Linked DNA regions of Sus scrofa. The protein of the gene in region 3 interacts with the protein of the main gene of each other region in a pairwise test. Links are inferred from orthologs where the notes say so. Each region holds a gene or a part of one and is shown on either strand. Other genes may lie near its edges. The genes, in order: HNRNPM, DZIP3 and HNRNPF.

Region 1 (4,150 bases), on a different chromosome or scaffold from region 3:
ATCTTGAAGGAAACCTGTGAGTCTGAAGAGTTTGGGAAGTCTGTGGGAACGGGAGCTGAAAGGAGAGGGTGGGGCCTAGCCTCCGGATCAGGCTGGGCTACTGGGTTTATTCTCTGGGACTGAAGTTCTTAATCCACTCAGAATACCAGCCCAAATTAAGCGTTTTATTTGGAGGAGGATGCGGCAGGTGGGATAGTCCCCCAGAGTGGAAGGAAATGTAGTTATTCAGTGAGAGGGAGAGGAAAACAAAACAAAACATCTCTTCCTTTTTTTTTTTTTTTTTTTTGCCTTTTTGTTATTTCTTGGGCCGCTCCCGCGGCATATGGAGGTTCCCAGGCTAGGGGTCGAATCGGAGCTGTAGCCACCAGCCTACGCCAGAGCCACAGCAACGCGGGATCCGAGCCGCGTCTGCAACCTACACCACAGCTCACGGCAACGCCGGATCGTTAACCCACTGAGCAAGTGCAGGGACCGAACCCGCAATCTCATGGTTCCTAGTCGGATTCGTTAACAACTGCGCCACGACGGGAACTCCACATCTCTTCCTTTGTGAGCTTAGAGTTTGGTGGTTAGGTGGGAACTCATGCAAGATCCAGTAAAGCATTTCAAAGTTCCAGATAGGGGTGGCTTCTGGGGAAGGGAGACAGAGGGACCCAAGATCAGGCAGCAAGGACCCCACCATTTCTTCCATTATGTGATCTCTATCACGTTTGGCTTCTTGCTTTTTCATTCACTCAGGAAACGTGCATAAGCACATACTAAGTCTCCAGTCATGCGTTTGGCTTGTAATGGATGGGTTCGGTGAGAGGGACTTAGTCCATGGGCTCTGCATCCAGGAGTTCTTAGAGCGGTGGGGAGATAGGTCGGATAGAGCCCAGGTATTCTTGGTGCAGGATACTTGCTTAGAGAGAGCATTTTGCACATCTGTCCTACTGCCTGGCCCTTCAGTGTCCTACCCTTGCCTGGCTAACTCGCTTATAGCCTAGTATAGTATTTCGCTGCCCTTCTGCCCCAGCTCTGTTTGCAGATACCTTGGAGTTACTGGGTCCGGGTAGGGGAATGGAAGGATGCCTCCCCTGCCAGACCTCGAGAGCGGATGGTGAATCCAGGAGGTGCCAAACGCGAGAATGAATTAACAGCTGATGGTCTGCGCCTGCGCGCGGCGGGGGGCGTGGCCCGGGGCGTGAGGGAAAGAGGCCGGAGGCCGCCGCGGCGCGCGCAGGCGTTACTGGTCGCGCCGGGTCATGTGAGCGCGCAGGCGCAGCGCCGCGCAGCCCGCTCGCTCACACAAAGCCCAGACGCGAAGAAAATGGCGGCAGGGGTCGAAGCGGCGGCCGAGGTGGCGGCGACAGAGCCTAAAATGGAGGAGGAGAGCGGCGCGCCCGGCGTGCCGACCGGCAACGGAGCTCCAGGCCCGAAAGGGTGAGTATCCTATGGCTTCTCTCAGGCCGGGCACTTTCACGGCGGTCGGCGGCAGCTCCGTTAGGTCTGTTGGCGGCCTTCTCCAGGCGCGGCTTTGGCCGAGCCTTCCCGGCAGGGTCTGCCGAGAATAGGGGCGTCAAAGACTGTGAGAGGTGAAGCTGGGCGGCCCCGGGAGCGTCTTCAGGACCGCTCCCTCCTCCCATGCTTCGGCTCTCAACTTCTCCGGTCCCTCTAGGCCGGATCCGACGCCGACGCCGAGGCCTCAGGCCCAGACTCTGCGTGCGGGGATAATGGCGCGCGGGCGCAGAAGCCGACCAGTCTGAGAGCCCGCGACCCGCTGGCCTATCGGATGACCTTGGGCGCGTGGTTTCGCATCCCTTCCCTATCGCCCGGGGTCTCAGTTTCTCGATCCGTAAAGTGGGGGGAGGGGAGGGGAGGGAGTGCGCACGCAGGGCTTTGCGCGCGGTCAGTCTGGGTAAACGGTAGCAGAGGCGGGTAGGTACCGGGAAGGACCGCGAGGCCGGCTCGGGGCACCTCCTCCCCGCGCCTTCCCCTCCCCCCCCTCCCGCCCCCGCCTCGCGGGAAATGCCTCGGTCGGAACCGCCCCTTGCCCGACGCTCAGGCGCAGGCTCAGGTCCCTCACCTCCTTCCCAGGTGCGCAGTAGGTATTTGTGAAGAGATCGAACCGTTTGTTCTTCAGTGTTCAGCCGTAAAAACAAAGTGTAGGGAATAAAAGGGAAACATCCTCTTCCGTGTTCCAGAAGGTTTTCCATCATTAGGCGGATTCACCCAATCCAAACTCCGTCACCTTTTCGAGTCCTGTTTGAGGCTCTTTCTTGGGTCCTTGGTATTTAAGGTTTTCTTAACACTTTAAAGTAACGTCCTGTGTTCTCGTGAACCCCACTCATTGTGATTACAGCCTCTGAAAAATGCGGAGAGACTTTTTGGCCCCGACCAGCAGCTGTGGGGGGAGGAGAGGGGAAGCCTGGGTGCGCATTTGATTTCCCATGGACGTTAAAAAAAATTATTGGGGGGTGGGAATTGTAACAACCGAAGATGTTTACAATTTTAATCATTTTCAAGTGTACAATTTTAATCATTTTCAAGTGTACGATTCAGTGGCATCAAGTGTGTTGGCGGTATTGTGCAGCTATCACCAGTGTCCATGTCCACAACTTTTTCATCATCCCAAACAAACTGTAGCCATTAAACAATAACTTCCCATCTCCCTCTCTTCCTGGTTACCTGTGTTAGGCGTTCTGTCTTTTCTGAATTTGTCTTTACACAAGTTTTTAATGTGCATCATTAGAGTTTGTGGGAAGTAAAAGTGAATGTAGTTAAAGAACTTTGTTAATAAACACTCACTAAATAATAGCCATGTTGCTAAACTTGGGGGTGGGGGACAGAATACCATGGTTACTGGTCCCTGGAAATAAAGAGAAAGTATTCCCAACCCTTTATTATTGAAAGCTCTGGAAAGGGCCTTGTTCATCTAGACTTTTTTCATTACCTAGTAGGGAGCCTAGTAGGATTTTTGAGGGTTGTATTTGGAAGATACATTTGATTTCCTTTTTTTTTTTCTCCTATCAAAGCAGTTATCACAGGATGGAGTGCTGCTAGAACTGTATTAGCTGAGAAGTTATCAGTTACAGATTTTAACATCTGGGGTACATTTTTCAACTTTCCCATTTTCTACTGTCCATTTCAAAATAGTCATATTGTGACTTTTATTTGACAAACATAACACATTAGAATCTGAAGGTTTTCAAGACAAAAGAGCTCTAGTTGAAAAGAATCTGGGACTGCTTAATAGAGAGTATTTTAGGAAGTTAACAACACTTAGATCTTTCTTGTAGGGCCACTGGAAAACTGTGGTTTTTGTTTCCCTTTTTTTGCATTATGAGGCTTTTGAAGTAGAACTCTTTAAATTTTATTATTATTATTTTTTGTCTTCTTATGGCTGCACCTGCGGCATATGGAAGTTCTCAGTCTGGGGTTGAATCAGAGCTGCAGCTGCCAGCCAACACCACAGCCACAGCAGTGGGGGATCAGAGCTGCATCTGCGATGTATACCACAGCTCACAGCAACGCTGGATCCTTAATCTACTGAGTGAGGCCAGGGATGGAACCCACATCCTTAGGGATTCTAGTCTGGTTCTTAACCTGCTTGGCCACAGGGGAACTCCCCAAACAGAGGTCTTTAGAAAATGAAGCCCATGCTCATAAGGGGAGGCTAATGAATATTTTTGTATTAAGGTAATTGTGCTGTGATTGAGGTAAAAGGAGTTAACCAGGTATGGGTATGAAGGGGCTCCCCTCCCCCCCCACCAACTTGTTGGGGGATGGGCAGGAGATGTTCTTCCAGGAGGAGGAGGAGGATGAAAGGTGATAGGGAAGAGTCAAAGAGGAGTGTCCAAAGACTAGGGATTTTGATATATTCTTTGCAAATTTGTAAAGAACTGAAACTGCTGGAACACTGGGGGCCAGCTGGTGGGCAATGAATTCCAGGCTAAGGCATTTAGATTTTTATCATGAAAGCCTTTGAGGGATGGGAAGTGAGTGAAACTAGGTTATTTTTACCTTTGTCTCCATCAGGAGTGGAGTGTGCTGTAAACCTAAAAGGCAGTGGGATAGCAAGCTTGATGTGGACCCCCACATAAGATCGCTTGTTTGCAATTCCTTTTCTTCAGAGGAGGAATTGTTTTATTTTGATGAGAAATCTATTCCA
Region 2 (3,645 bases), on a different chromosome or scaffold from region 3:
ATTAAATTAAAACTCTCCACGTTTCTGATAACTGTTGAACTGGTCCAGATTTTCATCAGACATAACTGCTAGGCCCCAATCCCAGTCCTTCTGCTAAGGCTCTGGGATACCATTGTGTTTTTCTGCTTAACCTTTTAAGAGGGTTCTTTGAGCTTAAGAAAATGCTACGTTTGATGATATAAGAAAGTCAGGCAAGAACACTTGACTTGTAAATTCACTTATATATTAGAGACTTTTCTTTTTTACATTTACTCTCATAAGATTTTGAATGACAAAAACTCAAGAGAATAAAGGTAATATTTGGGAAAGCGCTGTGAGCAATAAATAAATTCAAGGCATTTCAAGTAGTTCTCACTCTGAGTGTGAGAACCTTATTGGTCAGGTCCCTTTAATAGAGGCTTTCCTAGTATCCTATATCTCTCTCTGAGTAGTTAGTAAAGTTTCAGTTTTCATTATTATATCTGATTATTGGATTAATATCCATTGGCGAATCTCTGCTAAACCTGTGAAGGTTGTCTTTTTTCTTGACCATTCAAACTTTAGAGCCTGACACACTTGATACGTCATAGGTGCTTAATAAATATTAATGGGCAAGGAGAGGGAGTGCTGATCAGGGTTTTGCTTAAAAAGGTTTAAACTTTCATTGGAGGTTTGCTTCATAATTGACTATTATTACTTCATGACCTTAGACTGTAAATTAAATTTTGCTTCTTGGTTTAAAGTGCTTCTGTTCAAGGCATTATCTATTATGAATTATCTTTTTTATTTTTTTAAAAATTTTATTTATTTTTTTGTCTTTTTGCCTTTTCTAGGTCCGCTCCCACAGCATATGGAGGTTCCCAGGCTGGGGTCTAATCGGAGCTGTAGCCGCCGGCCAACGCCAGAGCCACAGCAACGCCAGATCCAAGCCGTTTCTGCAACCTACACCAGAGCTCACAGCAACGCCGGATCTTTAATCCACTGAGCCAGGGCAGGGATGGAACCCGCAACCTCATGGTTCCTAATCAGATTGGTTAACCACTGAGCCATGACAGGAACTCCTATTCTTTTACTTTTTTTTCTCTAATCATGGGTTAATAACCTTTATTTTATACTTTAAAGATTATGCCTTGTTTAAATTATATTCATGAGTGAAGCTGCTTATTTTTAGTTATAATATTTACTGATGCAGTGTAAAAAATCTGGTTGTTCTTGTTCTGATATTTATTGGTTGCATTTGCAATTGTACATCTAAATTTTTTCTTCGTCTATCATAGGAATTGCTCTACAGTCAATAACAGGAAGTCAACGTAAGTGTGTTTAAAAACCAAATGCCTGAGTGACGTTTCAACTCAAGATAGCTAAGGAGCACCTATAGATTTTTACTTGGTTAGATAAAGTGTATGATGAACTGTAATTATTATAAACTTATAAAATTATATAGTCAAATATATTACTAGTCAGCTGAATCTAGTACAAGCCTTTTAACTCTGCCTTTGTCTGACTGCATGTGCCCCAGGGTTTACCCTAGCAGAGTCTTTTAACTTTTGACACACAGGATACTTCAACAGGTGAAAATGCTTACCTGCTTGCTCTACCTGCTTGCTCTACCTGCTCATATATGCTACTGTTTAGCATATGTGGTTATTATCTGGTTAACTATCCATTGTTAGGCTATGTACTTTTTTAGCTAGCCAGGTTGTGAGTTGCTAATTTTTTAATTTCCATCCTTTGGGGGTTTTTTTAAATGTAATTCAAGTTCTGCAATTAACATTATACTTAAGAAAAGAACACCATAGGTTTTATTTGGATCATGTGTAACCCAGTCAGATGAAGTCCACAGGTTTAGAGATTGAATCTCTGGAGCAATATTAAGGAGCATGGTGTCCAAAAAGAAGTCATAATAGGGGGCTGATAACTTTTAACAATCTTTGGTTATTTAAAAAAAAGAAAAAAGAAAAAAATAGACAGTCTTTTCCTTTTTTTCTTTATGTTTCATAAAAATTCCCTAAAATAATACTAGTTGCAATATTAATAGGGTCAATGTCAGTACACTCAAAACCTTCATATTTAGAGTTGACTTAAGTATATAGATGTCTAATATGTACAGTCTAAGATAACAGTAAAATATCTTAGAATTTGAGTTTGTACTGATTGGTTTCAGGTGAGTACGTATATCTATTATTTGATCATTGATAAATGAACATTTCATTTTTGTTTAGTTTTTGAGCAGGGTAAGATGTCTTTTATTTCTGGTATGATGTTTTGGGGGGAGTGAATATATTTTTATATAGTGATAAGAAACTAAAATTATGTGCATCCAGATTTTAAGTGTTTTGTTTTTAATATCTAGGTATTGAAATAGAAGAGTTACAAAATGAGGAAGAAGAACTAAGTCCACCTCTCATGGAGTACAATATAAATGTGAAATCAAACCCTGAAATACAGTTAGCGGAAATTAATAAAGATGGGGCATCGATACCCAGTGAATCTTCAACAGAATCTATTAAAGATCTCCAAGAAGTATAAGCTTTCATTAATATTTGAATTAGAAGAATTTAATCAAGGCTTTTAGTTTGTTGCATGTGCTGTTCTTAAATCATCCCAGACAATTTTAGTTTATATTTATCATTGTGTTTACACAAAGCTTGTATTGGAATGGTTCTTTTCGCAGCACTTTTTCCATAATCTTCTCTGCCTTAACCACACATTGTGCCAGCATTTATTGAATATTTATTATGTGCCAGGTTTCTGAACATATTTCTTCATCCTGAGTGGTGGTAGTGGATGTGGAAGGTTAATAGAAAGTAGAATAAAGCATAGTGGGGAATAGAGAAGAGCGAAAGGAAGAGAAAACAAGGGATATTTTAGTGCCATTTGCACAGAGGTAGAATTAAAATCATCCAGGATCTGTTTCTTTACAGATAACTGGTAACAGTTTTTATGTAGTCACTAAATTCTTCTCAAGCTTAATTTTTTGTCTTATGTACCTGAGTCTGTTGATTTTTCAAATGCTTTCCTCCTTTGTTATGTGTACAGGCATGTGTGTAAGTGAGGACCTCAGAGCTCTTTTCAGTAGCCTAGTCAGTGATGCTATATGTTGTTCCTTTTTACGTCAGTGATTAAGATTAAAATAAAAGTGAAAATAATTTTTCATAGAGTCTAGAACGAAAATATGATCTACGTTAGAAGATAAAAGGTCCCAGTGGTTAGAGGAAATATATTTTGCAAAATAGTCTTATTGTGTAGTTTGAATTGAATATTAAATAGAAGCAACACCAAGTAGTTATGCTGTGAGCCATGTGGGAAGTCCAGAATTTCATGTTAAATAAATGATTTGTTTCTTATCTATCAGGTTAAGAGTAAACCAAAGAAAAAGAAAAAGACTAAGAATAAAAAGGTAAGAGGCTTTTATTAGCATTACATTAGAGGAATGTCAGATTATGAACACATATTTAATACATGGTTTTATTGTTAGAACTTAAAATTAGTCCAAGTAGACATGTAGCACAAATAACTTAAAAATGTTTATAGCTTATTGAATATATGATTATAGAGAAGTCTATGTATGTTAGATCCTGAGTAATTTAAACTTATAGTATGCCTTACTTTACTTCCCTAAATCATAATTTACACATTTAAATATATAAATGAGGAACTGAATTA
Region 3 (4,182 bases):
ACCCCTAGCCTGGGTGCGGCCCTAAAAAGACAAAATAAATAAATAAATAAATAAAGCCTACTTGGCTCATAGGCCCTCTTTTTTTTTTTTTTTTTTTTTGTCTTTTTGCCATTTCTTGGGCCGCTCCCGAGGCATATGGAGGTTCCCAGGCTAGGGGTCGAATTGGAGCTGTAGCCAGATCTGAGCCGCCTCTGCAACCTACACCACAGCTCACGGCAATGCCGGATCGTTAACCCACTGAGCAAGGGCAGGGACCAAACCCACAACCTCATGGTTCCTAGTCGGATTCGTTAACCACTGCGCCACGGCGGGAACTCCTCGCAGGCCCTCTTAGTGGATTGCATGAATCTGGTTTCACAGTCCCTAAACCCTGAAGCATCTTTTTTTTTGCAGGGGTGGGGTCGGGGGTGGGGTGGTAATTTAAATATTTGCCTCAGATTAGCTACTTGCACTTTCTTTCCATAAACAGACTTTTCTATACCATGAGCTAGCATGGGATCATTGGGTTTCTTAAGAATACCTATTTGAATTTTGTAGGACCTGTTTTCCGTAATTATGCTTCGCCTGAGTCTTCTCATACATTTTTACCTCCTGCTTTTACTTTTCCCATCCCTCCCAAATCAACTTCTTTTGACAAACTGTTCTCCTTCCTTCACTATAGGTTGTCCATTCATAATCTGACCCTATTCCAAGCACTCCCTTAATTTATTTAAAAAGCAACCTGCTTAATCAGTGATGAGTTTCTTTATATTTTCCTCTTCATGAATTGAGTCTCCAAAAATAAAATGGTAATAATTAATAATCCTAGAACACATAAAAAAATAATCTGCTCCACTGCCTCAGGCAGAGTAGCCACTTCAGCTACCATCCACCCTGTCGCTCAGGTGCTCTGAAATGTCTGCTTTTCCCTGGGGACTTGAGGGTCACCTTCAGAAACCTTAGGCCTTCTCAGCCCAAGTGATAATCACATGAGCAACCTCAACCTACCAATCCCTCCCTAAACCCTGCTCTCGGAACAGCCTTTGTCGGTTTCCAGGATTTGGTTCCCTCTTTCTTCCTCCTCGGCAGGAAATGACTCTCATTTTCTTCTGTCACGCTGGTCTTCAATCCAGGGATCCTTTGGGCTCACTGTTGGGGAAACTCTCCCAGATGATACCCTTAGAGACGCCGGAAAAACCCATAAGCCTTGCCCTCCCCTCCCTCGAGCAGGATTCGCCCACGTAACCCACCTTGCCACTTGCAGCGCCCTCGCACCGCAGGCCCCGGCCCGGTCCTGCGCCTGGCCGACCAATCCCCGACTCCGCTCCGGGCGCGTCACAACGGCGCCCTTGTGGCCCCACCCCCATAACCCGCCTTGGAGACTCCGCCCCGCCGCGGTCTTTACGTCCTTCCGGCTCCGTCTTGGAAGTGGGGTTGCGCCGCGTCTTTCAGGAGCGAAAGGTGGGGTTCTGCAGAGAAAACGGCCCGCGGTCACGCCGGCAGCCGGAGGCGGGGGCGGGGGCAGGGGCTCCTGGGGCTGTTGTTCCCGGGTATTTGGGCGCAGGTCTGAGGAGGGGAGGGTCAAGGCAAACCAAGGCATAAGGGCTTCCGGAAGCGCCGCGTGCGCACGACGGGCGGGAGTTGTGGACTCAGGCCTTCCGCGCGCCTGACCCCGCCCCTCGTAAGCCCCGCCCAGGGCGCGCTGCCAGAGGTTTCCATAGTGATGGTAAACAAGCCTCAACTGCCTCTGCTACAACTGCCAAGTCCCCCGCGTTCCACCCTCTTCTAGGTGCTCACAGGGTCGACCGAGGTGCCGGATGTGAAGACGAGCGGGAGCGTGGAGACTCGGAGCCCAAGGTGAGGGGTGGTAGGGGCGGCGTGTCCGAGGCCTACACACCAGAAACCGAGGCCCCTGGCATTGAGGACCGAGGAGCTGAGATTTGGGGGTCAGGGGAGGCGGGATCTGTGGTAAAGGCCTGCACCTGGGCCTACTGGAGGTTGAAGACCGTGGGGCTGAAATTTGGGGTCTGAGATCAGGAGCCACACACCTAGGGACCGACTAGGTCCTGAACGAGGACCTGGCCCACTGAGGGTGGGGCCTGCGGGACTGAGATGTGAACTTCGGGGAGGTGGGCCTGAGGCCACTGGTTTACATTCGGGGACTGGATCGCGGGGCTGAGGTTTGGTGTCAGAGGACGCAGGATCGGAAGGGAGGAAGAGCCTGGTGCGGACTCTTGGGGTGGGGAGGCAGAGCCCGAGCGCCCCTGCCTGGGGTACGGTGAAAACATGGGGCGACCGTGAGAGGGGGTTCATTTAAAAATGAAAGCAGTACTTTCACGTGGCTGCGCGCGTCAGGGAGTTGCACGGGACTGGTTGGGAACTGACTCCTCCCCCCTCCCACGTTCCCGCTCGCAGAGCCTCCACTTTCCGTCTTTGCGGCCTTTTCTTCCTCTCCGCGCCGCGTGTGTGCCCTGAGCCGGTCTGCATTTGTCTCCTGCTCTCAAAGGTAGCATGTGGATATTTTGGTTGAAACTGTTCGGTTCTTGTTGTCTTTGCCTGGTGCCCACACTTCCGCTGGGGAAACTTGGTCGGCCGTTTTTTTATTCTTCACTTATCCTTTTATCTTTGAGTGTATTTTTGCTAATTCGTGACTGCGCCCCAGAAACTGCTGGACGCTGCCGGCGCTCGCGCGGCTCCCTCTGCCTCCCAGCCCCCGCGTGGCCCACGTAAGGTGGCGCCGAGCGGTCTGGGTGACGCCGCGCGAGACGCGGGGCCCGACCGACCCTGGGCCCCGGTGTTTTACGGTTAGGAGGCCTCAAGCTCCTCCCGGTTAGTCTTTTCCTTATCAGGGGACCCCCACAGGTTCCCGCCGGACGAACCTCAGGCCCGGGAGAGCCTGCCTCCCTTCTCCGGCTACCTGCGAGCCCCGCGAGACGCCCTTCGCGGCAGTTTCCTTCCCTTGGAGGCCCTACGACAAACCAACGTGCTTCACAGCTATTTTCGAGCCAGAGAACCTGGCGTGGGGGGAAGGAGTTGCCTGCCTCGGCGGGCGGGTTGTTCAGCGGGACCGGGGCCCGAGAGCTGCTGTGGGGGTGGGGGAGGGGCCGGGTGGCCGCGGCGGCTTCCGCGGAACCGGCCGCGGCTGGCGGCGGTGGGGGGAGGGGGGCCCAGGCTCCCAAAGTTAGGGGCGGGCCTCGGTAATCGGACCCTTGTAGAGCCGGGAGAGTTAGTTGAAGGCTGCAAATAATCCTTAAACGAATGCGTCAGCGAAACTACCGGTCTTGATATTCTTACTATTACTTTTAAGTCACGTTTTTAAAAGTTAACTATTTGTGCGTTTCTAGTAAGAATGAACAAACCTCGGGTTCTCCGGTCAGACAAAAATATTAGGATCTATCAGTGAAAAGTGATGTTTTCAGTTCTAATGAAGATAAGCTCCTTCATTTTAAAATAAGTAAATTTACTAGTTAAGCAAGTTCGGCCTTTGCCTCGGGGAGCTCCTCTTAATAGTATGCGTTTCTGTAAATTGATTAGATTTATTCTTTCCGTGTTATAGTCTACTTTTTAATTTTTAACTGCTAAGCGACTGATTTTCACTTGAGTATTGTTAACGTACCTCCCTTATAAAGTAACTCAAGTAAAAATGAGAATGGTTTAAGGGGAGGGATTGATTAAACAGGAGGAGAGTTAGTCCTTTGATAAGGTCAAAACTGGGGAAGACAACAAAAGACAAAAAGACAAAAAACAAAAAGACAAAAAAAAAAAAAACTGGGGAAGAGTGGAGACACACGTGGTGCGTGCCCTTTGGAGTAGTGCCTGGTGGGGCTACAGAAGTGGGAGGGGGGCCCCCCATCGACAGAGGTGACTTTCCCATCAACCTCCCCTCTCCAGTCTGAGTTTTGGCTCTCAGACTCTTTGTGGAATCACACTGATTGGCCCTCAGTAGTCCAGACACAGAGCTAGGTGTTTTACACTTTTCTAATCACATGCCCGCGATCAGTCCATAAGGAGATATTACTGCTATCCCCATCATACAGATGTGTCCTAGAACACATCTGGGACTGTTCTTAAGTCTGTCTGACGTGGGACATCCCTCTGCCAGGACCCCTGCCTCCAGTTAGTTGCTCTGAACAAGGGTTCTTGTGGAAGACAAACGATTGGGCAGAGGGAGAACCAGGTTCATGGATTTTTTTCTCCATAAGT

What was found.
Region 1: the proteins of HNRNPF (region 3) and HNRNPM interact in binary tests that used the Homo sapiens proteins (3 or more experiments, as listed by UniProt). The two-hybrid records come from large-scale screens. The link is inferred for Sus scrofa from reciprocal best matches to the Homo sapiens genes HNRNPF and HNRNPM.
Region 2: the proteins of HNRNPF (region 3) and DZIP3 interact in binary tests that used the Homo sapiens proteins (3 or more experiments, as listed by UniProt). The two-hybrid records come from large-scale screens. The link is inferred for Sus scrofa from reciprocal best matches to the Homo sapiens genes HNRNPF and DZIP3.

Annotation. Positions count from the first base shown.
Region 1 is NC_010444.4:70,855,931-70,860,080, reverse strand, and holds the start of HNRNPM (heterogeneous nuclear ribonucleoprotein M), read left to right. Parts: upstream 1-1,239; 5' UTR 1,240-1,309; coding exon 1,310-1,422; intron 1,423-4,150. UniProt on the Homo sapiens protein: Pre-mRNA binding protein in vivo, binds avidly to poly(G) and poly(U) RNA homopolymers in vitro. Involved in splicing.
Region 2 is NC_010455.5:150,846,959-150,850,603, reverse strand, and holds part of DZIP3 (E3 ubiquitin-protein ligase DZIP3), read left to right. Parts: intron 1-1,256; coding exon 1,257-1,289; intron 1,290-2,332; coding exon 2,333-2,502; intron 2,503-3,334; coding exon 3,335-3,379; intron 3,380-3,645. UniProt on the Homo sapiens protein: E3 Ubiquitin ligase proteins mediate ubiquitination and subsequent proteasomal degradation of target proteins.
Region 3 is NC_010456.5:61,665,115-61,669,296, reverse strand, and holds the start of HNRNPF (heterogeneous nuclear ribonucleoprotein F), read left to right. Parts: upstream 1-1,351; 5' UTR 1,352-1,440; intron 1,441-1,768; exon of another isoform or gene 1,769-1,836; intron 1,837-2,394; exon of another isoform or gene 2,395-2,485; intron 2,486-4,182.